2 linked regions of the Drosophila melanogaster genome follow. The protein of the gene in region 1 interacts with the protein of each later gene in a pairwise test. Each region holds a gene or a part of one and is shown in the gene's direction. Other genes may lie near its edges. The genes, in order: CG17508 and CG6800.

What was found.
Region 2: the proteins of CG17508 (region 1) and CG6800 interact in a two-hybrid assay, tested with the Drosophila melanogaster proteins (one large-scale study listed by BioGRID).

Annotation. Positions count from the first base shown.
Region 1 is NT_033778.4:5,600,145-5,617,512, forward strand, and holds CG17508 (uncharacterized protein), read left to right. Parts: upstream 1-8,490; 5' UTR 8,491-8,571; coding exon 8,572-8,653; intron 8,654-8,868; coding exon 8,869-9,345; coding exon of another isoform or gene 9,346-9,371; exon of another isoform or gene 9,372-9,850; intron 9,851-9,919; coding exon 9,920-10,112; intron 10,113-11,047; coding exon 11,048-11,261; 3' UTR 11,262-11,442; downstream 11,443-17,368. Other genes in the region: Fis1 (Fission, mitochondrial 1), read right to left, coding at 3,596-3,617, 3,756-3,868, 4,100-4,267, 4,324-4,372, 4,439-4,506, 4,566-4,610.
Region 2 is NT_033777.3:21,767,198-21,782,865, forward strand, and holds CG6800 (uncharacterized protein), read left to right. Parts: upstream 1-8,940; coding exon 8,941-9,141; intron 9,142-9,194; coding exon 9,195-9,579; intron 9,580-9,641; coding exon 9,642-9,792; intron 9,793-9,844; coding exon 9,845-10,016; downstream 10,017-15,668. Other genes in the region: Burs (bursicon), read left to right, coding at 2,354-2,483, 2,548-2,672, 2,731-2,997; GABA-B-R2 (metabotropic GABA-B receptor subtype 2), read right to left, coding at 3,332-3,951, 4,013-4,479, 4,537-4,639, 4,705-5,050, 5,463-5,699, 5,766-5,876, 5,939-6,302, 6,363-6,658 and 4 more; Polr1H (RNA polymerase I subunit H), read right to left, coding at 10,092-10,116, 10,181-10,400, 10,452-10,569; tsl (torso-like), read right to left, coding at 11,155-12,006, 12,355-12,564.

The DNA of each region.
Region 1 (17,368 bases):
TTACAATCCTGTGGTCGAGGGAGGAAAGGAAAAAAAAGAACTGAGCAGTTTAGGGTATGAAATGAGAATGCTCTTTATTACGAAAGTTGTCTGTTTCCCTCAAAATGGTTTCGTTCGGGTTCGTATTGGCGATCTTCGTTTAATTTTTTGCTCGTCTCCGTTTTTTCGTTTGCTGGATCGGTGTTGTTTCCCTGTGGTCGGAGAGAGGGGGCATGTTAACTATCCCGTAGGGCGAGGACCTTCGCATTCGCTTTCATCAGCAGTAAACAGCTACACTAGTACTCGCGATGAAATGTATAACACAATTAGGCTTATTATACCCGTTTTTCGTAGAGGAAAAGAGATACTATTTACGTTAAAATAGTTAAAATAGTATACATAATGAAGTATTTATCTTGATGAGGATCAATAGCCGATTCGATCTTTTCCTATATTCCTGTTAGTCTTGTAAATTTGTAAAGATTTGTTAAAAAAATTTTTGCTTCTCCCACTCCAACTCCCAAAACCGCCCAGATTTATTGTTTGCCTTGCCAATTTCTATCGGTATACCGAACACACTTCGGCTACTCTTTTTACCTATACCTACAAAACGCCTGAAACGGTCAGGCCCAAAGTTTTGAACAATTTTTAAATTTTTTCTCCTTTAATTTCCCAATAAATAACGATATCCCAAAAAATTATGAAATTTCGAGTATGCATTTCCACCATCTGCGTAACGTGTATCTGATAGTCAGTGAACTCTTAAAGGCTTCTTAAACTTTCACAGCTTTCACAGTCCCAGAAGCAGTCGACGATCAAGACTTGATAGAAAAGTAAGATTAATGTTAGAATTAATAAATAAAATCATTTATGTTTATTAAAACAAGAAAGAATGTTTGAGTGACTGTTGACTGTTGGGAATATAAAACCTTCATAGTCGCCTGGAACGACACCGACGAATTTATAATGGGTGATGTCCGTAAGATATTCCGCGCATCTGTTGATTGCATCTGGTTTAGCAGACCATTTTTGAAATGACAATAAGTCCTTACAAGAATGGCATAGCCACCCTTCACCAATCATTTACTAATTTGGACTTCTTCGAGTAGATAGTCGGCTGACGAACTGTCGTAACGTGTAACGAAATAAATTGATGGAAGGAATTCGGTTCTAGCTCGTTGGCGAGGAGTTTGGTGGTCTTGCTTGTACAGATACCTTTTCGCTACGGACATTAATGAATAAGATCGATAATTATTATATTCGAAAGAAAGCTTGAGACAACTGTTACTGGCGAAACACCGGTGTAATTGTGTTTGCGGATTGCCCTACCCTACCTATGACCACTTTCCTTAATAGCAAGGCTCTAGTGGCCTCTTATGTGCCCTATTTCCGGAGAAACATCAGCCGAGTTCAGTATTTAAATTTTAAGAGGTTAATTTCTGTATTCATTTTGGTGACTAAAAATTATTAACAATATTTACACTGGCACCGACTTCTGTGGCTCCTGCACAGACACTTCAATTTCTGACTGGATTCTAGTTATATCCGTTACTCGTAGAGTAAAAGAGTATACTAGATATGTTTAAAAGTACGTAACAGGCACAAGGAAGCGTTTTCTATCACATAAAATATATATGTTCTTGATTATAATCAATAGCCGAGACGATGTGACCCTCTCCCTCTGTCCGTCCGTCCGTCAAGATATGACGCATAGCAAGTTTGTTGACCTGTGTTGCCACTCTACCGCACAAATATGTTATAATATTTTTTCATATCTTTAAAGTAATTCAGTACTCATCGTCCAACGGGAAAATTCCATAAGTCATTGCGGACCCTTCTTTTCTCCTTTGCAAACCCAAATTTATGGATCTTCGCTTGGCCTATCCTATTTCTGGAAGATTTAAAAAGGCTTTTTTTATTATATCGTCTACATAGGGAGATTAACAAAACCATTACTTGAAATAAAATTAAAACTTAACTAACACTAAAAAAAATTGTGGGCCTCTAATAACTATACTGAGCGGGGCTCGGATAGAAATCCGGGTTAAGTTCCTGGCCATATGGCTTGGATGAAAAGTGATTTTGATTTACACTTTTAGTTGATTTGTATTAAAAATATGTCTCATCCCAAACTTTACGCAAAATGAGCTCATATAAACCAACCAAATCAAATATTGAAGTCAAAAGGTTTGGGATAGTTTAGAGATAGAGAGCTTGGTTAAAAAGAAGATTTACAGTTTACTGCTCACGAACGAATAAGTAAGCCGAATAAGATAAGGTGAATCTCTTTCATTAGTGGATTTTAATGACCAACCAATTTATTAACTGTCTGGCAGTTCAATATATAACCAAACGTATGCTCGAAATGTCCACATATGTATGCTCATTTTGCTTTTGTTTGTTTTCAAATTTAAAACCTAATCATTGCGTAAGTCTATTGAAGTGAAATAAACTAAATTTAAATGTTTTTATAAATATTTATGCAATGGAGCCAAGAAAGTCTTACTTTTAAATTACCTAATGTTTTCGAGTATCATATGTAGTAAATAATAAATGAAAATGATATCGAACGGAAGACGAACAAGTGTAGAATTATTACAGGAATTAGAACGGTTAGGTATAGAATGAAAAAATATCAATATTAATCAATAGATCAGTAATAAAATCAAATTATGTTTAAGTAGAAACACCAATTTAAACTACATGCTGATCCAAGAACTTCCGTACCCCAATTGGATAAAAGCGGCCAAATGCATAATTAATTTGGAATCGCGTGGACCATGGCAGGGTGAGCAACTATCACCCCCCAATGACATTGTGGGTTGTGCATTGAGAGAAACTCCCTATCTATCATTTTCCATAGCTATCATTTAAATTCACATAGATATGAATGAGCACCCAAATGCTGTAACCTCAAAAGAACACCACGACACTCGCTGACGAGATAGAGCCGGATTGAAATGCGTGCTTTCTTGATATCCCCTATCAACGTCCAAAGTATTACCACTATTGAAATATAGCTAGTCTCCGAATTAAATTCAGTATAAAACTGCGCTCCACCCATAACCTTTATTCAAGGCTATCTGCTGTTCCTTGTGTTACGATTTTGATAAAGCCGTACGTACTCACAAAAATATGCGACATGAAGAAATAGTTATTTTAGATGGGAACACTTAGCTAATCCTACCTATCCTGAGTCTAAAAAAAAATATCCGAAATACAATTTCACTAGAAAGGAGTAGAGAGTAGTTTGGATTACTGGAGGTCAGTCTTCTGGACCCAGGGAGATCATATTATTTTGCACCCAGCCGGGGCGATGATTCGGTAGACTACGCCTTCGAAGTTCTTCTTTGTATGGACTAAAAACAACAGAAGTCCGATGATTTAAGCATTGTTGGAGTTTAATTCAGCGGAGTCGGCATAGCACTATACCTTAACATATGTAATTAACACACACGATCTACAAGCAACAATTGGATAATTTATTGATTTAACCGTACATAAAGATTAATTAGAATGTTGATGTAGTAAATTAACATATTTCAAGTATTAAACTTCATAACATCTTGATGTGCACCTTTCGATGTTTTATTTTCCTTAAATAGTGGTGACGTTACTATTTCTCCCGTTTTTGTTTACTAAAAAATAAACAATGTACACATAGCATTAATAATTAAGTCAATGTAGATTTAATTTAAATCATAAATATTTAATTTTCAACTGCTTGTTTTTAAAAGAACATTGTCGGTTAAAAACGTGTTGGTATAAAATATTACTTTCTAGCCATAGCAATGCCAAGTCCTAATATTCCGCCAAGTACTAAAGCTGCTCCGCCTGCAACCACCATACCCTTTGCCACTTCCTTATCGATTTCTTTTTTAATATATTCCTGAAATATGTAAAGTTATTTAGTAATTATTCGTACATTGAATTTTAGTGTATGTACATTAGTGAGGATCACATGAATATGTTTTTCATTATTATATATGTACATTTAACACGACACATCTTTTGTGATCATGGGATTTTGGTTGTCATAAAAATTTTCTGGATCAAAAAATTATTTGAATCTATTGGAGATTATATAGAAATTGCTGCTTTCCTTAGTGACCTTACTAACCTCTAGGGAGCGAACTTGATCATTTGACTCGATGTCAAGAAAAGCTCGGCAGTATTTTAAGCCAGACGTATACTCCTTGATACGAGCATTACCAAACGCAAGATAATATATATAGTCACGCCTTCCATCTGGATGCGTACGAGCCAGTTCCTCCAAAATCATAATTCCCTGGATTATAAATAAAATAATATTTTTACATCTTTACAGCTTTAAAAGTGAGTCACCTTTCTAACGTCATTTGTGTACCGACTTCGGACCAGACAGAATGCGTACCTATTGTGTCATTAGAATTGAGAAGAATTGAGATATTTTAATGTTTTTAGATTTAGGAATGCGTACTCAAACTTTGTGTCTGTGGTAACTTCACCATCCAACTCAAGTTCGTGATGATACTTTTTTTCGAATCTCTGGAGCAAATGCAAAATATTTATTTTATAACAATCAGAACTAAAATAATATTTTTTACTTCTAAATCTTCTTGTGGTACAACTTCGTTTAAAAGATCCTCCATTGTTTGGCAAATGTTGTTAGCAAATACAAAAATTATATACAGAGAATTTAACGCCAAGAGTAGCCGTTCATTCTAAAAATATAGGATTAGTCGTACCGTTTATATACAATTCTCAGAGAACGACTTCCTTCACATTTTTAGTGTTCCTTCTTATATTCGATTGCCACTGAGACTATTTAATAAGGGGTACTCCGTTAATAGCATGTGTTCTTAATTAAGCCAAATAAAATTCAGCTTTGGAGTTTCAAAAATTTTAGCGAATTCACGGAAGTATTTGATTTTAACTACTTTAGTTTGATTTTATAAAATTTTTGATGTTATAATTATTAATTGTGATCAGAGAAAAATGCATTTACAAAAAAATGTTAACTTCTTTGGCTCCTCAATACCGACTCGGTTATTGATCCTCAATAAAGTGTTAGGAAAAGTTTTGTGTTACCTGTTTTATTCATTTAACGGGTATAACAACGAATTGTTGATTTCTTTTTAATTCATTTCAATTGAACCTGATCCAGACTTTTCAACGAATCTACTTTAACATTTTACTCTTCGAGTAATGTGTGTAATTTAGTATTCAAATTCCTGTATTTTGTGAATAGATAAGGTGTAAGTCCGTTTTTTATGTATCTCGGTTCCATCAATTCAGAGTTTCTTAAAAAAGTTTGTTTATAAAAATAGTTGTTATGAAATAATATTTATCATGTTCTCGATGTGCGCTTTATAAAATATGAAGATAAATGCAATGAAGACACTGCTGGTCGGAATCTCTTATTAATATACCCCTAAAAGAGTTTAGAATGAAAAGCTTTTTTGAAAATAAATACCCATCATTAACTTTAATGGCCACTGAATTTCGTATTTCCTACCTACCTTCAAAAGATCGCTCGATTTTAGAGCTGGCCTCCTATAATTTGACAGCAATTTTGCTAACGCATCAGTATAATTACGATGAGGATCCGGTTCATTCTTTATTTGTTGAACGATGGGGCTCGCGTACGTGACGGCATTTCTTCGCGGGACGGTGCGGGGAGGCAAGAGATGGGTTGTGCTAGTCCCACGAAGTTGAACAGGCAATGATATTGCAGAATTACTGTTCGAAAATCAATGAATATGCTAGCGGTTCAATATATAGCTGACGCATGCAAAGAGCAAAATACAATCGAGTGATACACAAAAACCCAAGCTGGCCACCAGCTTGGTCCTCACCAAGGGCCAGTATAAAGTATCTTAATTTACACCCAAGAAAGTGTCGCGCAATTGCTTCTCGGCAGTTTTTGTTGACATGTCCCATGACGTGAACACAATTTTTATTTCTATTGCTTTTGACTTTTATGCACATGCCCACTCATAATCCTAGAGACATTTGTCATTGATGGTCCGGTCCGGCGAATCTATTGTTGTTGATTGTTGAGCCCGGCTCTATTCACACTTTCTTTCGAACCGAGTCGGCCAGACTAGACCGTCGTATTATTGTGATTTACTTGAGCCGCTTTATCGCCGTAATCACAACAAAGTTGTGCGACAAATACAGATATGGGGACCAACAATAAGAGCGAGAGTTGCGGATGGCAGGCAGCTGCTTGGCTCCTAACCAACTTGAAAGTGACTAATCGGAGCTTAATGTCATTCCGGGACCCTGACCGGAAGACGACGGTTCGCCGTCGATTCGTTAAGGGCAACTAATTGTTGCGACGTGTTTACACACACGCTGTGTCAGCACGGGGTTGTTTTTGCAGCGGGTGCTACCAAGAGACTGCTACCAGGCGGTTGCCCCGTTCGCCATAAATGATCCTGTAATTTTCGTTGGGCGCGTGCTCGCGATTGTTCTTTATGTGGGCACCCAAGCAGCAGGAGCATGACCAGGACAAAGACCATTGTTGTTCACGTCGATTATTATCGCGGCAATTGGAAAAACTATTGCCGACTCATATATCCGTTTATTTATTATTACTTTTTCCCTTATCAGCCGAGCCTCGAGTAGCTGTCCATGGAGTAGTCGCAACGCCGCTTGAAGGGTGAAGCTTCACCCTCCGAATACCACAGCGTAAAACGAGCAGTCGCTGCACAGGCACACCGCAAAATTTCAATTAGGCTGGTTTGGCCTTTTATTCACAAACCCTCAAAATGAAACGCCAATCACAAAGAAAACCAAACTCGGTAGCAAAGTAAAGTAAACATGAAAAAGATCATGGTTCTAATTCACAAATTTATTTAACGGTATCCTGCTTTTTCTGTTCAATACCCATGTATGGATTTTTTGATTTGAATCTGAACGAAAAAAATGAGTCCGCCTGTCCGTCTGTCTATCCGCCTGTCGATATGAACTTTTGATTTGACTTTGAACATCGAACTACGACCTAAGATAAGCTGCAAACTACAAAATTTGTCTAGAATTGGTAGGTTTCATAAATGTTGCAACCGATAAGCATCTCGCTTCGATCTCAACTTCCTTTTATACCCGATACTTGAGAGTAAAAAGGTATACTAGATATCTGGCATAATAAGGTAGCTTATTGCCAAATTAGAAAGATCAGACAAAGTGTAATTTTCGGTGTCCTTTCCAAAACAGTCAAGGATCACTTTCCCAAGACGCGAATGGTAATCTCGAAAACAGTTTAAGCTCATGCGTCGCGTTGTGATTAATCGGTTACGAGCCTTAATGAATCCTTCGTTGCTGAAGTCCTTATGTTCGTCATCCAATGAGCTCCCAGTCGGAAAGGTCAGTGAATACGGCATTAAAAATTTAGATTGTTATTATTATTTTTTATCTATAAATGGTTTCATTACATTTTTACGGTTTATTTTATAAATTTAGTAATCACGTAACGGGTTATTTAAAACGGTGTTAGTAATGGTTACAACATTTAAAAACATTTCTTACTTTTTTAATGCTGCTTTGAGAGAGTTCGAAAACAAAATCCTTCACTAGATGTGACGGGCGGAAGATATACCTTTTTGAATCGTGGATCTAACAAAGATGTTTTGACCAGTGTTTTGGTTCTTTGCAATGAATTAAAACGCTCTTGCGATACTCTAAGTGGACTCGATTTCGTTACAGCTCCTTCAGAAGATTCAATTTTTATTTTGCGAATTTTATCAAACAATAGTGATATTAATGGTATAGCCATCTGACAGTAACGTAATATTCATTGCTTTAGCAAATGACAAAAGTCTTGGTAAATAGAAACTTCATTGGATGTTAGTAAGCCTTTTACAGAAGACACAGACAAAAATTGACAAAATACAATATAATCACAAAAATTTAACGAAGTTGTAAAATGATTAGCTGTTTTATTCTAACAACCACTTATTGGTGAATATCACAAAAACGAGTCTAACGATTTCTTTTTTTCAACCTTAATAGTAAAAGTTTTAATGGAAATAAAAACATAACCCTTTTTCATCAATAAATTTATTAAGAGCTCTACCAATTCTCCAACTCTTGATATATAACACGTAAGGATGCTTTTCGGAATATTAACCAATCAATATACATATAAATAATCATAATAATAGTATCTAAGAGCTACTTCTTGGTCTCAGTTTTGAGGTATGTATACTTTAGGTAACAGTGGGAAGTGTATAATAATTAAATATCTTCTTATGAAGCATGAACACAAGAAAGTAACTGAAGTCATAAAATACCTGATATAAACCTGTAAATGTAGAAAATTTGCGGGTGAACAATAAATATATAAGAAGTTTGTTGTAATAAAATAATTTTATAATAATAAAATATAAAGGATATTGGAATGCTACTTTTAAAGCACACTTTTAACTGTATGAAATGGAAAAAGACGTTATTAATTTATAACGATAGAAAAATATTTTTATCCGAAAAATATCGATAAATGTCTTATTGCACTCCCATCGGTCTACAGCAATTGCTTGTAGTTGGGTTGGTTAGTCGGCTTGATAAGTTTAATCAGAATAAGCTTTTATTTTGCATTTGCCAAATACAATGTACATCACAACGGGCAAAACGTTTGCGGTGCTGAAAGGACCTTTACGTGATTGTTTTTTTCTTAGTAAGAGATGGCCAGGTAACGTACGCTTTTTTGTCGCCGTCTAAAATAGGCAGGTACATAGATAATGTATGCATCTGTAGCTATACGAAATAGTATAAAGTACATTTATACATATGCACACATTTTTTATTAAATGCGCAATAGTTACACATACGTATACATATGTATGTATGTTCATACGAATTAGTACTAATATTTGTATATTTTAATCTACTTCCATACACACAAAGCTGTTCAACAACTGCACTTAAGTGTCGCAATGGGAAATTATGTGAATGAAGCCTCAATTCCCCTTCCAATCAATGTGGACTCTGCGGAAACAACTCGATTCTCCCCCCAGCGCTCGCGTGACATTTCGTCTACAGTGATTAATGCACAAGCACCAATCTCAAGCATTGATATCACAACTGACAACAGTTTTCATGCAGTCCTAAGCGATCCAAATATTTGTCAAGATCCACATGTACAGTCCTATGATTGTTTCGGGTTGATCAGTCTTAATTCCGCGATGCAAAGCAATGTACCAACACCGTTTGGGGGGCTTAACAAGTTTTCTCATCTGAACATGCCTGGCGGACAATGGTCCCAGGAATTCAAGTTTACAGCGCAAAACATGCAGTGCTCTCACTACAGCGGTCTTCGCGAAAGTTTGCGAGCGGATTGGGCGACTTACGATCAGAATGCTACTCTTAAAACGAATGACCAAGGTGAGAAAGCTTCGTTCAAAAAGTAACCAGTAAAAATATGTAACTGTATAAGCATTTTTTCGTATATGAATATTTTCATGTATACAATATATTTACATATATATATGTATATAACATTGTAATTAGAAATGCATCTACATGTCTGCATATATCAGGAACTCATTCTAAGGATTGGCTTTCAGTTCCCAGGAACCCTATTATATAGAAATTAGAATTGACCAAAGAATTTATTAAATTGCAAGAAAACCGAAACAAAGTGTGAAATAGACAATTGTGTTTGGAGTGGGCATGCCCAACGTATTTTTCGAATACCATCTTTTTAGCTTTTTGAGGTATAAATATTTGGACTTTCATACGGACGGACATGAACAGATCGATCCTGATAGAGATTCAAGTCTAAAACACTTTTCTTTTATCTGTAAGATACTTTTCATCGAATATAAAGAACCGTTTTAAAATACTAGTAATGGGTATATAACTCTAAAATAAAATAGATATATTTTGTATGAAATGGTGTTTTTCCTATATGCATTCTTAACACATAACCTAAATATATTTTAAACTAATTTTACAGGGTTGTTTAATCGAAGATATTATAGCACCCAATCACCTATGCAAAACTCTTCCACAAAAACACCTACAGGTGCAAAACTAAGTAAAAGTGAGCAGCTGAAGAGGGCATTTAAGGAATATGGAGCGCCAATTGTTGCGTTTCACGTAGGAATTTCACTGATTTCTCTTGCCGGTTTCTATGTGCTTGTATCAAGGTAAGGTGGTACTACAATTAGACTGCTGTCCAAATTACAATACTGTGTTTCCGAGTTGTACTTTACACGTAGAGCAAAAGGTTATATCTAACAGACTAATGGAAGCATTCTCGTTTGCACTTCTGTCTATCATTTTGTTCGGTTCAGTTCAGACTTACAATAAACTGAAAAACAAGAGAGAGCTATAGTCGACTTCCCCGACTATCATATACCCGATACTCATGTAGTGGAAATGCGAACGCGAGATTTCATAATTTTTGTGGGATATCGATAGATGTTGGTGAATAAAATGAGAAAAAACTTAAAGTCGTTGAATATATATATGAATATATATACTGTATATGGTCGGAAACGTTTCTTTCTGCCTGCTACATACTTTTCAACAAATCTAGTGTACCCTTTTACTCTACGAGTAACGGGTATAAAAACAAAGATTTATTTTGCGACGCCAACGCATCGAAAGTACCACAAACTGCAATTGAAGGATTAATACGAGTGTACCAAAAATTCTTCAAATCGCACTATGTATCACCTTGAATGATTCAAAGATATTCTTAATGTAAGGCAAATGTAAATACTTAGGGGTACCATGCATTCGAGTATCCTGTGCACGCAGAAATCGGACCGTCATCGAAAACATCAATGAGCTCCACCTCACTGCGTTAACCAAATTTCTGATCTTTTTCTAATCAACACTTTTTGAATGGCAAAATCGAAATCCACGCAAATTTTAGCTACATGAGCTACATTTTATCGTTTTACATACTTTTCAACAAATAACCTTCTACTCTACAAGTTACGAGATATAGAAAAGATATAGAAATATAGAAAGTTATAAATTGGTTGGCCCTATGTTTTCTTGTTATAAATATAATACATTGGAACCCTTTTTTTTTTAATTACATGTTTTATGCTTTTCTTGCTCTATTTCACAGTGGCATAAACTTGGTCCCAGCTCTGGAGTGTATTGGAATTGCATCACCCGCTATTGTAGAAAAAGTGGCAACGGGGAGCACCTTTGTTGTTGCGTATGCCGTACACAAAGTCTTTGCCCCTGCTAGAATAAGTATCACGTTAGGTTCTGTGCCATTTGTTGTACGCTATATTCGATCTAAGAAATCGCAAATACCAAAGCCAAAAAATACTTAGAGTTGAGAACAATGAAGTCCTTTCAATAAGGGATTTCATTTTTTATAATTTGTTTTTTAAAGTTTAGATGGAAATGTTTATTTGTAGGAAAAGCGTACTACTACCATCTAGGCAGATTAATCTAATGAGAAATTATTTGCTTAGCTATTCAAAGCAATGAAAAGACGAGGTTTATAAAGCGATTTTGAACGATATTTTTTATTGGGTTTAGCGAAGATTTGGCGGGATTGGCGGTGGCTTATGAAACATCATGTCGCTGAGTGGCCCCTGGCCCTGTTGTTGACCCACACCATGTGAAGGTGGCTGTGGCATTGCACAAGGGGGCTATAACATTCCCACGGGTACTACTTTTGGCAATACTGGAAATTGAACGCCGCCCTGGGATGCCTGTTGCGGCGGTGGTTGCTAACTTCTTCTTGTTTTTGCGATTGCTGCGAGTGGCCTGGCATGCCGGGCGTCCTATTCTGCTGTCCTGTTCCCAAGGAACTTATTCCGTTGTCCTGGGATTTCTGTTGCGCCACGAGCAACCTGTCCTTTACCCTGGCCGAAGCATTTGGGATTACGGCAGCATGCTGGTATGTGAACTCATGTTGACCAAGTTAGCATAGCCCCCAGCGCATTTTGTTAGCTCAAGAGGGGGAAGCGGCGGTTCATGATTACGGGACTGAACGCTGCTGTTGGCCACACTCATTAGGAGGGATGCCGTCAAAAAAGATTATCTCCTCCCGTATAGAGGATTTAAGCGTTACGACCATGTCAAATTTCTCAGCCAAATCACTTTCGAGTTCATGCAAATCAAGTATTTCGAGCTTGTTGAGAATTTTTCTAAATGTTTTTTAAAGGTCATCGATCAGCTCCCACCTCTCACGAAGAACGAACTCATCAAACGATAACGAGTCCGCTAAATGGTCCACTTAATTATAAATTGCAGACGCCTTGCACTTTAAAAATGTCTCCCTGTTTGCGTCAGCGGTTACGTTTCCAGAATTTGCATTGCAACAACCATGAAACCGCAGAAACAGCTCACAAATATAACTCTTTATTGCAATCTTGCGTAACCAACGAAGTTACTTTCAATGTCCACTGCCTTTAACTTTGTCTGAGTATTGCAGACACAAATTTTTGTCTAACAACGGCATCATATTTAAAAGCTATCTACATCAGACTGTAGAACAATGGGGCAAGAAATGTCCTTATAATGGAGGCATAATTTAATATTGTCTGCGTACATAAATACACCCGAATGTTGTAAGCAAAAGTCTTAGTTAAAAGGGGATAAGAAGGAGCGGACCAGGGTTGTGATCTAGAAGATCAACATGTTGATTATGTTGATTAAAAGTCAAGTGCTTTACTAAAGTCAGTTATGACATCTGCTTGAAGACTATTTTTGAAGACCTGTATGACGAAGGAAGTTAGCTCCAAAAGGTTGTCTGCACCTACAAAGGTGAGGTTTGATAGCAAATTTAAAAAAGCTGAGGTATATCCGACAATTGAGAGATTTCTCGGTGATTGCATCATTCTTTCCTTTTTTTTATGGAGGGGGATCACAAAGGACTCTTGCCATATTTGGGCGGACTAAATATTCCAGAGAACAATATGAGCACACAGCCAGGGAATCCGTAGGAACCTAGAGAATAGACAGGCTTAACGCGCTTAAGATCGTAAAGCAGTGAGCATCCGTTTAGAGTGGGATAAAATATTTAATTCGACTTTAATACCGCGTATAGATCTGCCATTGCCTGATTCGATGTTACCGTAGTATTTTCAAAGAAAAAAAAAAAAGAAAACGAGGCAGGGTGAGAAATTGTTTTGCGCTAGGTGTCAACAAAATTATAAAACTTTTCGAATTTAGTGCGAACTGGAACTTACAATGGTATAAATAGCTCTTGTAACACTAAGCATTAAGCACAGTAAAATTTAACCGAGCAATTAAATATTTAGAAAGGATAGACTGAGACTAAATTTTGTCTAAAGTCTGGACTTTTCAATTCTTAGGTGAGTCAACTCATTATTAAACCAAGGAAGTTTGTTAGAGATTGACGGATAGTACATCAGAACACAAGAGCTACAAAATAATTTAATTTCGTTATAAAAATATATATGGCATCCGCCATTATGTTGTAGGAGTAAGAATCGGGCCAATTAAAGCCAGATGTAAAACTAATTAGCGTCAGAAAGTTTGCCTTGCGAAAACAATGAATTCGTTTATGTCGATTGTCATCTCAAAAGTAGGATCCAATAATCCAGGTGAGTTTAGAATAAAGTTAACTTGCGACAACGATAAGTGGAGTCGATTTTTCTTCTGGGGACCACGTAGTGCCATCACCTAGAACTACAAATTGGTCCCTATCTGACAGTATATTTGAGACGGATTGGATAGTGGAAATTCTGATATTCTGGGAATTCAGAAGGTGGCGGGATATTCGAGCACTAAATATATTCTGATCTGTCGGAAAAATAACAGCTTTACAAATAAGAATTCCGAGGTACGGGAATCATCCAAAAGTAAGAATTCAAAAGACGCCGGAATGTATAAGCACAATACGTGGGAAAATTACAGCGTATATGAGGGTATACTTTGTACTTTGTGAGGGTATACGTAACCGCAATTAAGACCACCAACCCGTCTGGAGGTCGGATCATTCGTGTTGTGGACAAACCTAGAAAAAACTTGAGAGTTATGTACCTTTAACCAAGTCCTTGTAAACACAATAATATAGGATGCAGAGGTAAGGCTATCAGAATACTATTTAGGTGGCTTGCTACGCAAGCCTCTTTCATTTTGAAAGGAAATAGTAGGACAGTTCTGGTGGGAAACTAACCGGTACAGGTGGAATCACTGCTTGAGAAACCAGTGCATACAAATGGACTGAGTGTTAGGACTGCCTCCACAACTGATTGATCAGATTGTTCCGAATCTTTTTTAGCTATCTTAAGACAAGTCCTTGTAAACACAATAATATAGGGTGCAGAGGTAAGGCTATCAGAATACATTTTAGTTGTATTGCTACGCAAGCCTCTTTCATTTTGATAGGAGACAGTAGGACAGTTATGGTGGGAAACTAACCGGTACAGGTGTATTCACTGATTGAGAAACCAGTGCAGACAAATGGACTGAAAGACAGGACTGCCTCCACCACTGATTGATCGGATTGTTCCGAATCTTTTTTAGCTGCCGATCTTAGCAAGATTTGAGGATTTCCTGCGATTGACAGCTGATCAGCTATGGAATCTTGTTGATCATTTGTCATTGGCTTCTGGTCGTTCCCCTTATGCAATATTCACAAAACCACTAAACCGTTACTGCTGTAGTTTTCCCAAACGCTTCCACGCCCTTCCGATTTTTGTAGTTGATTGACAAATTTAACATTTAATAAAAACGGATTTATGATTCGTGTCTACCAATACGCAGCTGAAAATGTGGAACAAGTGAAGTTAGTTTTCGCAGTAAAAACTTATGGACAAGTCCAGAATACTGGCACATATCGTAAATAGTGTAGGGAGTGACTATCAGTGAAATAATAGTGAAACGTAAACATTTTTATTCAAAAAAGACAGAGTTACAGACAGACAGACAGCTGCCACGCGATCGCCCAGATGCCCAGCTGCCACGCGATCGCACAAACAGCTGTTTGTGATTTTAAAGCTTATATATTCCAGGATTCAAGTCTTGACTAGGACCCTGCTGATTTGTTGTGTACTTACATGTGTGCCTTAAAATTGCCAAATTCGTGTCGCTATAAATCACGACGGAAAATGGAATATAATGGTCCATCGCAATTATCACTAGACTTTACGTTGATGAAGCAAATTGCCGCAGTCTCGTGTTTCTCCAGAGACTGACAGGAAGAAATCGAAATCCAATATCGTCAAACAAGGTGAAAATCCTTCGTCAACACAACCTAGCTATGGCGGCCACACAAACCATTTTGATTTACTTGCACATCTCTCAGTCGACAAAGAAGTAGGCAATTATATTGGCGATCTGTGTGACCAACCCAGTACCAGTCACCAAGCTGCTATTGCTACCTCTAAGCGGGATGCAGCCTCCGCTGGTATCACCAGCTCACTCAACAAGGCGCTCTCCACCTCCTATAGTAATGGAGGGAGTAGACAACGTATGTCTGATGATGCAGAGCATCGATAAAATAGTGGACATTAAAAACGTTGAGGCTAAGGCGGCACATTTCGCAGCGTAGTCAACTGGCTCGAGAACGAAAAATATGAGTTCCACTGTTACCAGATAAAAGAAGACAGGCCTTACAGGGCATACGTGAAAGGCAGCAGACCGATAAACTCAGAAAGGGACCTAGAAGAAGCTGTTGACACTCTCACCCTTAATATCAAGGCTGCAGCCAGACTGGCAACTTCTAGCAAATCCTATCGGCTTTCGAAAACAAGGAGTAGTGCAACGCAGTCTTCCTGGATGTACGTGAGGCGTTCGATCGGGTGTGGCACTCCGGTATCCTGCTTAAAATTAAGAATTCGAAGTAAGAATGCAGAATAAAGTAAATTGTCACTCTCCAACAAGGTGACAATTTTCAAGCAAATTATAGCTCCATATGGAGGTCTGGTTGTCAGATTTGGGGCTTGGCTTGCGATAGCCAAATTTGTCGCATTCAGGCTGCCCAAACCAAAATCGCCAGGACGATTACCGGCTGTGAATGGTACGTAAGAAACACAACCCTGCACAAAGACCTCAAGATAGCCACTGTCTCCGAGGCAATAAACATGCACTCCAGCCCGTACCACTTCAGGCTAGAGCGCCACAGAAATCGCCTAGCCAAGGCGCTCTCCAGAGCTCGCCCACAAAGAAGGCTTTACAGGAGACAGCCGAAGGACCTTATCATAAGGTCCCCCTTGACGAGAGCCGGGATATGATGATGATCTAAAATTGTTATATTGTTAATTGTTATATTTGTATTATTGTTTTGTTACAGCTAACTTTTGTTAGCCGGCGCCCCTTAAAGGGCTGAATTATTAGCGCCCAAGGTGACAAAGCTACCCAGTATGCCTTAATAAAGTCTAAAAAAAAAAAAATTTATCCTAGACATGGAAGAATCTAAGGAAGCCCTTACCCATCAATGACGTTTTAAACGCATTGACCGGTCAGGTGACTAGTAAAAGTCATCTGATTTCTATGGGGTCATAGCTGTCCTGACAAACAATTTCCTGCAAGCTCGTTAAATAACCTTAAGAGACTACTTTGATGTACTAAAATCGATTCCAGGATAAAATTTAGAATTATATTAAATATATTTTAGACACTTCACGTATTCACTGGAGATTTTAACGGTTGGCACAAAATCGGGGGCACAATCAACAACAATACTAGAGGCATAACTTTAGAAAAATTGATCACCCAATCTAATTACATCTTAGTAAATGACAAGTCACCAACACAATTCAGCGCACACAACACACTTACAAGCATTTCGTCAACCCACTACTAAAAATCGCGATTCTGCGGTCTTAATCCCATAAAACACATACGCAGCATCCTTAACCCTTCCACAAACACAAGCGCTACCACAAATTACAAATAGCAGAGCTTTTCTGTTAAAACTTATCCGAAACATCTCTTATACCAACATGTCCAAAACCTTTAGACAACAAAAACAAACTTCACGTAACAACATTTAAGAAAATTAAAAACCTTAACATATCTAGAATTTTCAGCAGCACTAAACACACTAAAAGGTAACACACCTGGAATGGACAGGATCAACTATGCTATGATAAAAAAAACCTGGACAAACCAAAGTTAAGATAATTAAACTCCAAAATAACATTTTTATCATATACATCCCCCAAGGATACCAAAACAGCAATTGCGAAATCAGACGCAGATAAAACCATGCTAAACTCTTACCGGCCTATCTCACTGTACTGGATAAAATTATAGTAAAGATACTGTCGTGGATTATTTTAAACGACAAACTAATCCACAACAGTCAAACTGGTTTCAAGGAAATGAATCACCACCTATGAGCTCGAGATATCTTTAGAAGAAACCTGTTTAAAGAATTATAGTAAGAATTATAATAATAAATAAGGCACAAATAGGTTGTATTAATATATATGTATGCTAAACTTTATTAGCCGAT
Region 2 (15,668 bases), on another chromosome or scaffold:
TATTTTTATTTTTTTTTGTTTTATTTTTGGGTTTTGGTTTATTTTACTTTAAAAATATGTTGTTTTGATTTTTTTTTTTTTTTGTTCAATATAGTTACATTTTCCTACCTAGTTGGTGTATGGCTTTACGGGCCATTCTTCTCATCGGGCAGAAAAAGTTCCGCTCAATGTTACAATATTTTGTGTAATATTAATATGCAGCGCAGTGCATCGAGGGTGGTGTGCCACGCAGGGCAACAAAAAAAAATATTTTATTTTTCAGCTCCTATTTGCTTCACTCTGACCCTCCTTGCGTCAGCTGGACGTCGCCGGGGTTGGCACGCTGACACTCCCTCGATGACGTAATGAGCGGGCTGCTCACCACGTTGATGATGATTTCCTCATTTAGGGGTTATGTGGTGGAGCTGCAATGTCTGCACGTATGTTCACAATGCGGTGTGAACAGTGGTCCCTCGCAGTCGTTCGGGCATCTTTTCTTGAAAACAGGCAGGCTTTTCGGATTGGGAGTTGGAGTTTTGTTAATTGTTAACGATTTTATTTGATTTTCTGAGTGAGCGCGTGTGGTGGGGATTTTTTTCTTGAGATATTCGACACAGTGGTCTAGCTCAGCTTGTAGTTTTTGAGCTTTCGACCATTGGGGTGGTGGAGTGTTCGTATATAATAGCCACTTTATGTGCGCTATTCTCTTTTTTATATTATGTCGAACTCCGCCCCTGTTTTTTCCCATCACACTGACACTCTACTCACTCAGATCGCTTTTTTCTTCATAATTGCCGCCGTCTTGGTGGATGAGCATCGAAGTTGAAAATTATCACAAGCGGTTTCCTTTAGCTTCTGCTACAACTTATAACGATCCTTTGTCACGGTCGCCATGTAGTTAATTAGAATTCCAATACTTCTGATGTAGTTAATAAAGTCTCAAAACGCAGTTGGTCATTTTATCTTTATTTGGTTTTTATTAAGCGAGCGTACATTCCAGATCTATTCCTGATTTATAACTGATCTTAGTGTGGTCTACAGGCAGATCTCTTGTGACAGCCAAGTGCTGACACTAGCAAATTCTGCAATATGTAAGTATGTAGTTCATACTCGATAACCAATGGGAGTCGAGTGCGACCCCTAAAGGCGTACATGCTGAATTCGCATATTTAGTATTAGGGTGTATCTAAAGATCTACTAGGGTGACCCTAAGGAATTAGGGTGGTCCTAAGTTTACTTATTAGTCGACTTATTATTATGATTCATATTATAATTATTATTAATATTATTATTATTATTGTTATTATTATTGTTATTATGTTCGTATATACTACACTCCGCTGGATGTGGCCAATCGCAACAAACTGATCAAATGGCTGTGCAGATACCAGGCCAGCAATTGCAGGCCAAAGGTTAACGTTCAGTTCGTAACAGGTCATGAAGTACCATCGCCGGATTACCGGGAAACGTTCTATTGTGCCGCCAGTGGTGCCGATTACAACTCATACACCATGTTGTGGGGTCAGTATTATTTGGAAAATCGCACTAGCGAAAAGAATATGCTCTGGGCTGCAATCAGCTGCACGAGAGACTACGAAACCCATTACCACAAGATGATCATCTCTGGTACGGAAAGTGTTGAACAAAAGAAAATTGGTATCGCCCGTATGTACGAGGAGAATCCTGACTTGGTTCAGGCAATTTTCGAAATGATTACCGAAAACATTATGGAATTAGCGTATAAGTGAGTTATTTTTCATAATTTGATCATCTGAGAGTGTGGTTTGATTGTTTATTGAACACTTAACCTTGTCGCTTTTCAGCTTCCAGAGTTGGTCGGGACACGGCCGAGGTGATCAATGACATGGCGGAGTACTTCACCACCCGGGAGCAACAGCAGTTGCTCAAGGAATTCTACTACAGCAATCACCAGTTCTTCGGTGAATCGGAAGAGCTGCTCTCCAAGTCCCTGGTCACTGTGGAAAAAAACCTTAACTGGGCGGAAACCCATTTGGAAGGCTTAGTAAAATATCTGGCGGACAGAAATGGTAGCTCCTGCCTGGGAGCCACTTCCTTGGTGGTGGTTCTGCTTTTAGCAGTGGGCAGCATGTTGGCCTGGCCCTGATTAGCCAATAAGTTGTGAGGGAAATAAAGAGATTGCCGTGGTCGTGCGCCGCGGGAGAAATGCCCTTTTCGTGTACGCAATTACTAGGCAAAAAGGTTTGGACGGCCCTTGCTTTATTAGGCCATAATTTACGCTGTCGAGCGGCCATTAGAGCGGCATCCGCTGGCCAAGTTGGTCTATAAAAGCCCGGCGGCTGCAAGTGGCGTTTTCCATTCCACGTGAAAGGACACTCGCAGTCGGGCCGACGAGATGCTGCGCCACCTGCTCCGCCACGAGAACAACAAGGTCTTCGTCCTGATCCTGCTCTACTGCGTCCTGGTCAGCATTCTGAAACTCTGCACGGCACAGCCGGATAGCTCTGTGGCCGCCACGGATAATGGTATTTGATAAGGCATTTGATAATATCATATTATTCGCTCTAATGGATTCCATTTACCATCCAGATATTACGCATCTTGGCGACGATTGTCAGGTGACGCCCGTCATCCATGTGCTCCAGTATCCTGGATGTGTGCCCAAGCCGATTCCCTCGTTCGCCTGCGTGGGTCGCTGTGCCAGTTATATCCAGGTGGGTGTTGATATACTTGAAATATAAATTATAATTTGATATAATCTGATGACTTTAGGTTTCGGGCAGTAAGATCTGGCAAATGGAGCGTTCCTGCATGTGCTGCCAGGAGTCTGGTGAGCGGGAGGCAGCCGTCTCGCTATTCTGTCCCAAAGTGAAGCCCGGCGAGCGTAAATTCAAGAAGGTCCTGACCAAGGCGCCATTGGAGTGCATGTGTCGGCCATGCACTTCCATTGAGGAGTCTGGCATCATACCACAGGAAATTGCCGGCTATTCGGACGAGGGTCCACTCAACAATCACTTCCGGCGCATTGCTCTGCAATAGATTCCCCCATCAGTTTAGCACTCATACCCATGCCCATTTGCTCATTAAAATAAATTAGAGTTGCCGTTTCTGCTTGTACACAGTGAAAAATGTGCCTCTGAAAGCTCATGCCAGTGAAAGGGAAACATCAGCAGATATATGATTATTTTAAATTGTAATTTATTTCCCAACTATCTCATGTCATTGCTACTAGTTCACTAAATGGTGTGTGTCCTGCTTCACAGGGTATGTATGTAGATGCGTAACTCCAAAGAAAACAAAGATAATCTTTACACTGCAACTGGATCTAACAATAGGAGTTTAACTACGGCATAATGCATATGACTCGCGCCGCCTACAAGTACTCGACGATATCGCATTTGATGGATATATTCGGACAGCTCTGGCCCACGGCACTGCGGCCCCGATAGTTGGGACTCTTCTCGGTGAGGAGTTTCCGGAAGATGGGCAAAATTGCCGTCTCGCCCTCGAGCAGTTCCGTCTCGCTGCTGGCGCCGTAGATGCTGCTATCCTGCTTGCCGCGCTGCCTGCTCCGCTGCTTATCGGGCGCCACATTGGGCGAACTGTGGTGGTGGGCGGCGTGCTGGATGTTAGAGCTCCGGCTGACCTTACGCGGCTGGACGCACGGCTGACTGTTGGGCGGCGGATCTCGTTCCCGTTCGCTGTCCGTCTCGCTCTGGCAAACGGTGCCCTTTTGCGGTTTTGGCCGATGTTTGTTGCGGTTCTTCTCGGAGACGGACCGCTGGATGGGCGAGGTGGTGTTCGGGTCATAGGTCATCCCGTGGCCGCCATGATGTTCCGCACAGCGCTGCGGACTGGCGTAGTTCCGCGGCGACTGGCGCTGCTTGGCGTGCGACAGCGTGTGCGTGTCCCAGAGGTCACTCTGTGAAACCACGAAATTGGACTTCAGAGCGGAGCCCATGCTGGTGCGGCGATGGTCGGAGGCAGTGGGAGCTATTTTCGATTAGAAAATCGATAGTATTATAGTATTATAAGAGACGCGCAGAAAACTTACTCTTAATCACAGCCGGAGTACTGGGCTTTGAGTGTGGACACATGTTGCTCAACTCCGATTGCGATGTGGAGATGTTGGTGGAGGAGTTCCGGTGCGAGCTGCTGTACTTTGGCCGGGCGGTGGGCGTCTGGCTGCCACTGTCGTAGTGCCTGGAGGCGGTCGATTGACGCCTCTCCCGCATGCTGGAGCAGTCTCCTCCGCTCCGCTTGCCCGCCGTACTGGTGATGCTGCCTATATTATCATCGGTCTGAGCGGACACCGAGTTTCTCTTCTCCAGATGGCGATGATGATGCTGCTGCTGCTGCTGTTGCTGTTGCATCTGCTGGTGTTGCTGCTGCTGCAGGTGCTGCTGCTGCATCTGCTGATGTTGCTGTAAGTGCTGCTGCAGTTGCTGCTGGATGGGCTGCATCATAGTTGGAGCAGGGGCATGCGAGTGGTGCTCTACAATCGATTGCTTTTTCTTTTTGCTGTTGGAGAATATCCATAGATTAGAGTGTATTTAAGACCAAAATTTAAGAACTTACGGAGGAAGCGATGGCGCCATCACTGTAGACTGCACCGACACAAAGGAGTTATCCATCTCCACATGAGTCGAGGTCACACTATCCACGGACGTCATCTCGGTAACTTCTATGACAAACGGGTTGCAATGCATGAACATATCTACGAAATCCCCCTCCTTAGCCACTCACCTGTGGTGCTGGGCATCTCTCGACGCACCGGTGGAGCTGAGAGCCTAACAATGTCATCGTTCAGTATGGGCTCCAGTTCGCTACCGACGTTGGAGCCACCTGTGCAGGTCACCCCATCGATCCATTTGCGTGCCTCGGGTCCCAGCTTGCGGATTAAGGCCTGCAGCTCGTTCTCCTTCTCCATCAGCGCCTTTCGGAATCGGCAGTTTGTGTTCTTTACATCTCGCAATCGTTGCTCCAGTTCGCACACCGAGGAATCCCGGCGTCCGTTTTTGGACATGGGTCTCAACGTGGCCCTAACGCGTTTGTCCACCACGCCCTGGGGATTCCGCTTCAGCTCCACCAACTGCAAAACGATTCGCATGAATATTAACCAAAGATTATACTACGCGGTCAACATCTAGGAAGGATCAACTCTACGGACAGTAATATAGGATAGTTAAAGATATTCCAACAGCAAGGAAGTGGGATTTGCCTACAACCTTGCTGCTGCTCTTAGTGGGTTCTATATAGTTCAAGTTTATAGTTAGTCTGTAGTGTTATATAGCATTTTAAGATCTGTTTTCGAGTACATGTTGTTTCTGTATCAAGGTGTATCAACGCTAGACGAAAGATCAGCTCAGCTGGCGGTAAAGTACGATCAGTTAAGAAGCTCTAACCACAACTGATCGGCCTATTACCGCCGACAAACAACATTCATATTACACGATTATTATATGTAACATATAACAGCTACAAAAACTACAAAACTTCCTTACTACCAGTCTTACTTTCGGTACGAACACCAAACACAAAGTGGCTGTCGTACAAAAAATGATAAAAAACGAGAGTAAGACAAAAACTAAATCCTTTCGATCCGATAGCACCAGGGATATAGCCGCTCCGGCCAGACAAGTGATGAACACGTTATAAACGGAGAAACCAATATGCTTGGAATCGTTCAGAGCCGGTATAGAAACATGTCGAGTTTCCCAGGCCAAAAAGGCGCCAAAAACCTATTGAAAAAAATTATTGCTTTATTATAATGATATCTTACAAATTAATGTTTATTATATACTCACCAACAACAGTCCCTTGTAGGCATAAATAATGCTAACGAATATGGTCATGTGCTCAGACTGGCAGTACTCGTTTTCGGGGATCACCAAGACATCATCAATATTCTCGTGATGCTGTAGTTAATAATAATCATTTTAGATTTTTCACTTCAAATATGTTCTATCAATGCACTCACCAAGGGTTCCAACTGTTTAGTTTCGCGGTAAAAGGGATCGGCAATCTGCCAGGTGGTTATAATGGCTATATCAATGGCCAAAAGCACGCCCACAACCATAAACAATTGATAGTCCTTGATCACCTTCTTATTGAGCTTCAGATCGGTGAATATCGAATGCACCCGCCACGTCTTCGAGAACATGGCTCCAAAACTGAGACTGAATCCAGCCATCAAGATCCAGGCTCGAGCTGTGCAGATATAGGGAAAAGCTGCCACACTACTTAATGTGGTATCGAGACCCAGGAAAATGATGCTCAAATAGGTCATCATACAGCCCACAATGATCAGATTGTTCAAATGGGGACTGGACATCTTGATGTATCTATAAAAACATCAATATTTTATTAAACGAAATTGTTTAATATAGCATTGTTAAGCTCACCTTTGATTGCGATACTTAATGTTAAAGGCCAGAAAAACTGTGGCAATAATCACTCCAATGACCGAAGCACTAGCCGATACAATATATATGGTTGGATTGACCTGACTGTGCTCGATGTAGATCAAAGTGCGATCCTTGGGAGGAGTTTTCCCCACCCATTTGACTGGTTTTCCCAAGCTTAAATCCAAGTGTGACTTCTGTGAGTGGTATTCCCCGATCTTTTCCATTTGTCCCAGCTGAAACTGATTGATCAGGATGTTGGCCTTGCGCTCGTTGTTGTAGAAACGCACGGGTCCCTTGAGAATGTAAAATATGTTTTAACTGCAAAAACTGGATTGTTTATCTATCTACCGTCACACCCTCGAAGGATGTATTACGTAGAGCCTCAAGGAAGACACTCTCCCAGTCCTTCACGCGATAATCAAAATGTGTTAGCAGATCCTCTCGCTTTTCGGCCACATACTGAATGGCCAGGGCAGCTGCCCAGATACCATCGTAGGTATAGCCATGAAAGCGGGAATATTCAGTGCCTCGCAGTCTGTCGTACTCCACAAGATACTCATCAGCAGTCTAGTAAAATATGAAATTTATTACAAGAATTTTAATAGACTTTACTGGTACTAACAATGCCAGCCACTGTGATGTCACCACTGGTGGACAAGGGCAAAAGATCCACTAGAATGGCACCTTCCAAGGCTGTAGCGATCTCCTCCACACTGCACTCGCTGTCCTGCGTGACATTCCACCAATCCGTGGAATAGGTAGCCATGATCAGCCATTGATAGGCTCTGCCATACATATCCAATCTGGAAGGGAGTTTATTGCAATAATTTTAAATTGAGACTTAAGTTAGTATATCCAACTCACTTATAAGCCTCACAGAATGCCTTGCGTGCAAAGTGCTCGTTAAAGTTGCCCAGAATGATCCTCACGTCCTTCTCGCGCAGTTTCTTCAATGATTCAGCCACATCGTTGACGAAGCTCTGCGTTTCCACCACCTCGACCTCCATGGCATCCAGGTCAGCCACCATGTGATTGTGGGGCAGCGAATAGCGTGGCTCATTCTGGTAGACAGTGCCCACTCTGGTCCAATTGAACTCCTTCAGCAAGGCCAGTCGCGGCGCATTAAAGGCATTCTCCGAGGGTACCACGCGAAAGAAATTCGGAAACGCATCCTTGGTGAACATGGGATGGGTGTCCGCGTAGCTGAGCTGGGTGAGGTGCCAGTGCTTGCTGGCCTTGGCTATGGGATCGGTCACATGGGTGCACGCAGCGCCGAAGAGCATCACTTTATTGGGACCCGAATGCATCATATCGAAGAAGGACTTTACGCCCACAGCAGCATTGCACTGGAAAGGAAACCAAAATTACATTCCAGAATATATGGAAATATGCATAGGTAAAGGTGTGATATTACAATATGAACCAATGAACATTAAAAAAAATACCTAATTGAACTTTAAAAACCACAAGTCCATCATCAGAGATTCACTTAATGAAATCTTCAAGCTAAACCCTAACTCACCTGAGTGTCGTTCCACCACATGTGCAGCCTGTAGTTGGCCAGTATCTTTCCATGCTCATTAACGTGACCCAAGGCGAGCTTTACACTGGGCATAACGCCCCGACCGGTGTAGGAGTTTTCCACGCCATCCCCGTACGGGAAGAATCCCGCTATGTAGACGTCCGATCTCTTGGCTGTCCTGCCACAGGCGGTGCTCCAAAGGAGCAGGAACAGCAGGCTGGCGAATGGAAACCAACTTGGCCGGAACATGTTGACCGCGTGGGCTGTAAAACGATTCTAAATGTGAATAGCGCATATCGAGGACGTGAACTTGGAGCCAAGTTGTGGGTGGTGAATGGCAGTGGTTGGTTTCGGGTGAGCCAAGGCTGCCGAGGCAAGGCTGCGCCCAGTGGGTGTGTATTATTTTCTACGTTCTACCTGTGTTTGCTGGCACTCGCATGCAATTTTACAGGACAGGTGGAGCAAGGCTAAGGCCAGTCCAGGCCAGCAAAATTGCTTCAAATTGCTGCAGCAATGCTGGCACGTTTAGTAATTATAAAGCAATTTAATGATCTAAAGGATTCGTGCATTATTTAGTATGCTCGTTAACGCGAAGGAGTATCTTCCAGGTGTTGCATCCTCTTAAATCTTATGTGTACATGTTTTTAGGAACCTACCAGCTTGCTTAGTCCCAGAACTGGCTTTTATTTCACTACCGATGCCATTTGAAACACTTATTTTACATCAAATCTCAGCCAACGAAGAACTTTTGCAGTGCGAGGGTCCGAAAAATTATGTATCCCCCTGACTTGACATTTGTCTGACAGGAGGAATTCGAGGCAGGAAGTGCGCATGTCCTTAAACCGAAAGCTGTCACTGCTCCGCCTTGGCCTAGGCTTTCCAACCCCCGTAATTACCATAAACCCACTGCGCTTGTAAACATCCTGCAACAGGTGGTCCCATCAGCTGGTACTCCGGCAATTGTTGTGCCCGTTGCCATGGACTACTGGGGTCGAAAAACGAAGTAGATAACTGCTCGGAAAATTACCAAATTGAAAATTGTGAGTAACCATAATGGAGGACTATGCGCCCAGCCGCTATAAAATGCTTGAGAAAATCGGCGAAGGCGTCCATGGCTGCGTGTTTAAGGCCATCGATCTGCAGCGCAACAAGGAGGTGGCCATCAAGAAGGTGGCCCTTAAGAACAAGTTCGGAAACATAGCCCTAAATACTTTGAGGGAAATCAAGACCCTGCAGCTTTGCAAGTCTGAATATGTAGGTATACCATATATCTATTTTCCATTTGTTAATTATGTAACTAATTGTAGATTCTGGACATCATTGATATATATCCTGACCTAACTGGTCTCTCCTTGGTGCTGGAATACCAGCCGGACACTCTGTACAACCGCCTCAAGAGCGAGGTTAATCCCCTGAGCCGCCAGCAGGTGCGTAAGTTTGCACACCAAATGTTCAAGGGGATTGCATATCTGCATGAAGCGGGTCTCATGCACCGGGATATTAAACCCGCCAATCTGCTTATCAGCGATACAGATATGCTTAAGATTGCCGATTTCGGACTGGCCCGTCTGTACTTCCCTGAAGACGAGTCGCGCCTTTATTCGCCTCAGGTCTCAACCCGGTGGTATCGAGCGCCAGAGATTCTATTTGGCAGCCAGAAGTATGGAACCGGAGTGGATATGTGGGCGGCAGGTTAGCCATGACTCTTTGATGGGTTTACATATATCCTTATGGCTGACATTATTGCTATCCAGGTTGTGTTGTGGCGGAGATGCTACGCGGAGTGCCCCTGTTTGCGGGAACCACCGACATCGAGCAATTAGCCATCATCATTCGCACTCTGGGCAGCCCACGTCTGAATCAGTGGCCAGAGCTGACTTCTCTGCCGGATTACAGCAAGATACGGTAGGCATTCTTACCGTCTATGATTACTTAATCCGTAATATTCTTGACGTAGGTTTCCCAACTCCGTGGGCATTCACTGGGACAACTTGTTTCCCAGCTGCACACATGCGGTGGAAATCAATCTGGTCTCGAATCTGGTGGTCTACAATCCCAAAAACCGACTCAAGGCCAGCGAGGTGGGTTCTGCTTCAAGTTTGACACCGGTTAGGTATTATAATTGGTAAATTCTATATTTCTCAGGCCGTCGAGCATGATTATTTTCATTAATCTAGGACTATTTACACGGACATTGCTAGCAACTAAGAGTTTTCGGATTCTTTGAATCTGCAAGGTAGAATGTGTGTGATTAGTTGTGGAAGTGAAGGAATATGTTTATCAGGACACCTACTTGCACTTAAGGCAGGTAAAGAACACCGTCTGGCCTTCGTCCGCCGATCGAAGCTGCAGGGTGGCATAGGACATCTTGTCGTGGTTGCACTTGGGACACTTCCTCTCCACAACGGGGCCATCCGCGTCCGATTCCGACTCCCTTTTCGTCCTGTTGAACACCTTGCTGGGATCGTAGGTGTTGAAGTGTATGGTAAACTCGGACTTCTCGCCGCTGTAAACTATTTTTAAGTGTTAAATAAATTAAACAAAGTTGTAATTTCTGGATTTACCATCTGGCTGAAACTCCTTCTTGCAGTTGTAGCAAATCACATTGCCCTTGACTTGAAGCTCGGGCAGAATGGAGCCGCAGGAGGGGCAAAAGCCCGGACAATTGGAAAAAATATCCATGCCAGTATATATCACCCAAAATCAAAATCAAAATACAAAAACCGCACGTGCTATTTCGGATTTCAGTATGAGCGTAACTGAACCGTTTGAAATATACCACACGGTATTAAAAATATACTTGATTCATATACTAAATACGTAAGGGTGGAAAACTAGAATAAGTCTGGTTGAAAGCCTTGATGAAACGGGTAGAGCCGTTTACCCGTTTCGATTACCGGTTCTTAATCAAAATCAATTATTCAAAATAAACTTTCAAAATAGTATTTGATATTCATAGCCAATATTACGTAATGAAAACAGTTAGATTTTAATAGCCAATATCAAGTTATGAAAACAGTAAGATTTTTACTTTTATCTTTACTTTGTATTAAAGTTTACAAAACTATTACATCAATAAGGCGATCTTACGGTCTAGTTAGCTGAAATGCAAGTCGGATGTGTACTGTGTTCCAATTAAACTACCTAAAACTATCACAGGCAGAACATTAACTACGCACTAGAGGTTCCTAACTACAACTAAGCATCTAGGAACTATTGATCCTTGGCTGCCACATATCGCACAGTATATATATATTTAAAATGCAGCTATCGGGTGGGATGACTCTGCGGCATGTTAAGCTCCCAGAGCTTCACATTGTTGTCGAGAACCTCGTGGTACCAGCTCTCCTTTTCCGGCTCCTCCCGGAAGATGGGCTTCAGCGACTTGAGGTCCAACTGCAGTATGGCATCGTTGCCGAGCAGCGAGTCCAGGGATCGCAGTAGAGTACTATTACCGTGCAGTTTCAGCAGGGTCACATACTTGACCACATAGTACTCGTACTGCAGCTTCCTTCTCGCCCATCTTTCCACTGTAGCATTGGCACTAGCCGATCGAATCTGGCCCAGATGGGCGGCAAACCAGGGCGCAAAGTAGTTGTAAAGATCCAACTTGGACAGTCCGTTCAGACCTTTACTCTTGATTCGCTCCTTGATCATGCTGTAGTTCTTCCTGCTGTACACAAACACCTGATACAGCGAATTGCCGGTGGTGTATGAGTTTACGTAGTGGGTGCCCACATCTTCCATAAATCGCACTGCGGAAGTTATATTTCCGATTTGCAGTTGATCCATTCTCGATCGCACATCCGGCTCCAAGGGTTGGTGCACCGGAATCTCAGCGTTAAGACGCCCCGTTTCCCTGAAGCGCACCACCCTCACCAAAACATACGAGTAATCGCCTTGGATGAAAGATGTATTGATGCCCAGCTTCTTGGCCGCATTATCCGGAAACCATCCGCCAGTAAATGCCTCCCACGGTTTGTCCATTCGCTCAATGGAAAAGTCACGGAAGTAGGCCTGGAACAGTTGCCTCCGATTCTCGCAGAACTCCATGTGAAAGTCTCCATGAAAGATTCCGGGCGTGGTGTCTTCATGACTCTCCGCCAGGCCACTCAGATTCTGAAAGAAAAAAATCATTAATTATCTAATTGTCTAGTCAGCTCAATTATCAGGTAATAAATATCAAGTGACATACTTGAATAATCGTATATAATGATCGTTTTCCTAAATCTGATCAAACAAATATAATAAGCGCTCATTCTAACGACAAACGTGGCGGAAGTGAACAATATAATTACAACTAAAAATAGTTTTAAGTGATAACAACTTTAAACCCTATTTTAAAATTTTGATTATACTCCAAATAATTATGGTGATTGTGGTTAAAGGTTAATACAAACAATTCCGAGTTCATCAACGCCATTTAATTTATTAAATGTAAGCTTAACTCTGCCTTAAGTCCCTTACCCTATAGATGTTTTTGGTGGGCTCCTTAAACACCCAGCGATCCGGCTCCGAGTTGTCATTGAGCGGTATCACACGCATGGAGATTCCCAGGTAGCCATAGCGCAGGAATATATTGATGGCCTTGCCGATCCGGAGCTGGGACTCGCGACGACCTCCATCCGCCAGGAGCGCCAGGGTCAGCAGCCAGAAAAGGCCAGGCCACGACCGCATCGCTCAGCATTCAAGGTTAGATCTATAGAGGATTATAATAGAAATATTATATTGCAAATTTAAAGCGATTACACTTGAATTAGGCAAACGTTTCCATATTCCATATCCATATAATCCCTTGCTATAAAATATTATTGATTGAAACAAACGCAACCTATTCCGATCTCTTATAAAATTCGCAATTTAACAATAATGAGGCATATCTATCCCACAATAATTTATTCAAGTGACTAGATAACTCTTGATTGCAATGTGCATATTGATGACAAGCAAGTACAAACAGCGCTATACCATCCGAACTCATTACTCACTTAGACTAAAACCGGAAAGTTTTACAGCAAGCTACTTCGGTGGTTTGTTTATATTTTATAGCCAGTGCAGTAGTTGCGATACAGTGGGGTTAACTAAACAGCAATAATTGCAGGGCCGCCGTGTTTGTTTTCCACTCCATAAACGGGCGATAATATAAGCGCGCTCTAATTGGCCATGAACCTTCAGTGGCGCTGAACTTGAACCGACCAAGTCGACTTGGGTAGAGGCCACCAGCTGGTGGTGATGATGAGCTGGAGCTCTGCGTAGCTCCACTCTGATCACCTTAAGTGGATGCAATTAGCCGCAGGCTCTGTGGCCGTAAAAGCAGCTACAAAGTATAGCCATCAAAATTGGTTCGGCTGTCGCTTTGACTTGCAAATTATTTCCTAAAAACATTTTGCATGCCTCGTAACCGTTTTCCTATAGTTGGCCCACTACACTTCAGAGGACCGGTTATGCCGTTTTTGTTTTTTTTTTTTTTTTTTTCTGTCCAAGCATTATGGCCGGCAAGGAAGCCAAACAAATTGGCCCAAGCCAGACATATACACACATTCTAACAGCTTGGCGAGGCAGCTTTTAATTCGAGCCGTTATCACAGAACGAGCGACGTGTTTGATGGGCCAAAAACACAGAGGTTAGCCGGGTGTTAGCCACGTTTGTGAGTCACACCTGTCGACCCGACGCACTGAAGCGCAGCACCAGACAAAAAAAAAACACAAACGCAGCCATGATGAGACTCAAATGTTAACCATTTACGTGAACCATAAAATGTAGGCGTCGCTAAACTTGTCCAGCAGCAAAAACTAAACAAAAAACAGCAGGAAGAGTGACTGAATGAAACTAGCCGTGAATGGAACAAAGAAAAAGAGACATTTGACTACTGCATCTTGTCTATACTTGCCTATAGTACATATATTACTGCCCATGGGCGCGATTCCAGGAAATATTTGTTTGCACATTTTATAAACACATGAATATTTGCTAAATGCTGCAATCAGCTGTCTTGACCTTACAGATGAACCTCACAGATTGCAATCACTCTACGGATTTAAACATTCTGACTCGGCATAGAATACGATTTCGAAGGCTTCCAACTTCTGGCAAACAACTAATGCCCAAATGAGCTTAGTTCTCCATCGCGAGACCCAGAAAATCAAACTGTCGCACAATTGCCAAACTTGAGGTTCAAAATTTGAGATCCGCTTGAAAGGCATGTGTTATGTGACTTAATGATAGTTAGTTTTGTCGGTGGGGGTATTGACAATAGCGGACGCATAACCTTGTGCAAAAGACCCCAAAAAAAAAAAGAAGCCGCGAACCGGAGTTCGAGATGAAGAAGACGAATTAAATCAAAAATTCAATGCGCGCACTCGGACTCCAAAGCAAAGGCAACTAAAAATCAACTCGTTCAACTGTGACTCCCTGTGCACTGGGAGAAAAGAGTGTGGCTATCTAGGACTAGAACTGAATAAGAGAAGAATCAGTCAGCTCTTAACTCCTCTTTTGAGCTATTTGGAATCTTATTCCAATTGTTTATGCTTTTATCAGATTTAAATCGTTATTAGATTTGTTATTTGGCCTATATTTATCCAATAAGATTTTATAATGTGTATTTTTCTTGGACATCCTAAAAAACCTGCATACATTTCTCTCAGTGCTTCCCACCGTGGTTGTCCGCGGCCCAGTCAATTGGAGATTCTTTATGCGCATTTCATGAGCTCTTTTGTGGTAGTAGTCTGGAGTAAACCCCGGGCGAAGGGCACAGACGTGGGGCATAAGGTCTGCAGTTTATATCGCGCTTAATTTTATGCTTGGTCCGTGTGCGTTGTTTCCTTGAGCGGTGTTAAACAAAAGTTGTCTTGACTGCTGCTGAGGTGCTGCTGCTTTTGCCACTTTTGTGGTAGTATTATTTACCTGCACGAGAACTCGAACGCGAATCGAAATTGACGTAACCATCGGCCAGAAGCGGCTTGTTTTATTTTCGGCAGAAGCTTGAAGCTCCGGCTAATTCTATATGCCAGTCGACACAAATCCGCAGGTCTAGAGTTGTGGCTCGCCACTGGTTAGCCTTATCGCTCTGATACCGGGGGCCATTGCACAAGGCTGGTTGGCTGGCTTTATGGCTGGCATTAGCATCGTTAAGACTCCGATTTTTAACGCTTTGTGGGTCAGAGGTCGGCGGCTTGGTTGGCGCCCTCAAGTGATAAGACGGATCTATGAATAGATCGCTGTGGTTCGAATTACATGCGTTTGCGCAGATTTCAACAACCAACAACGTACACACACACACACACAGGCAGTCGTCAAGTACCCTGAACGGCAAACACTAAAACAGACTTAAAACACACTAAAACGAGCGACGACGTGCCTTCAATTGCAATTATAAGCCGGAATTTGCGGCAGCACTTACACTCAAAACGCGAGCAGCACACCTTCAAGCGCGAAGACTCAAAACCTAACTGAAACTGGCTACCAAAAACTCGATCGCCGGAGAGAACAAGCCGATCCGTTCAAGCAGCTACAGCAGCAGCAACAATATATGTTGCGCTACGACAGCAACATGTTGCTGCTGTGCGTCGTGTCGTCTGATCCAACCGAGCAACTGGCAGCAGTTGCAGTTCAATGACTGGCAGCCAGCAGAAGTTCTACTCCTCCAACGGTAGTGGCTATGGCTAATGCTAATGGCCTGGCACAAATATCTATTGTTGACATCTGCCGTTTGGGGGGACAGCTTTTCCGCTTATTAATATTTCCGAGCACGTCGTTCAACTTCCAGTTTTCTTCAATGGCGC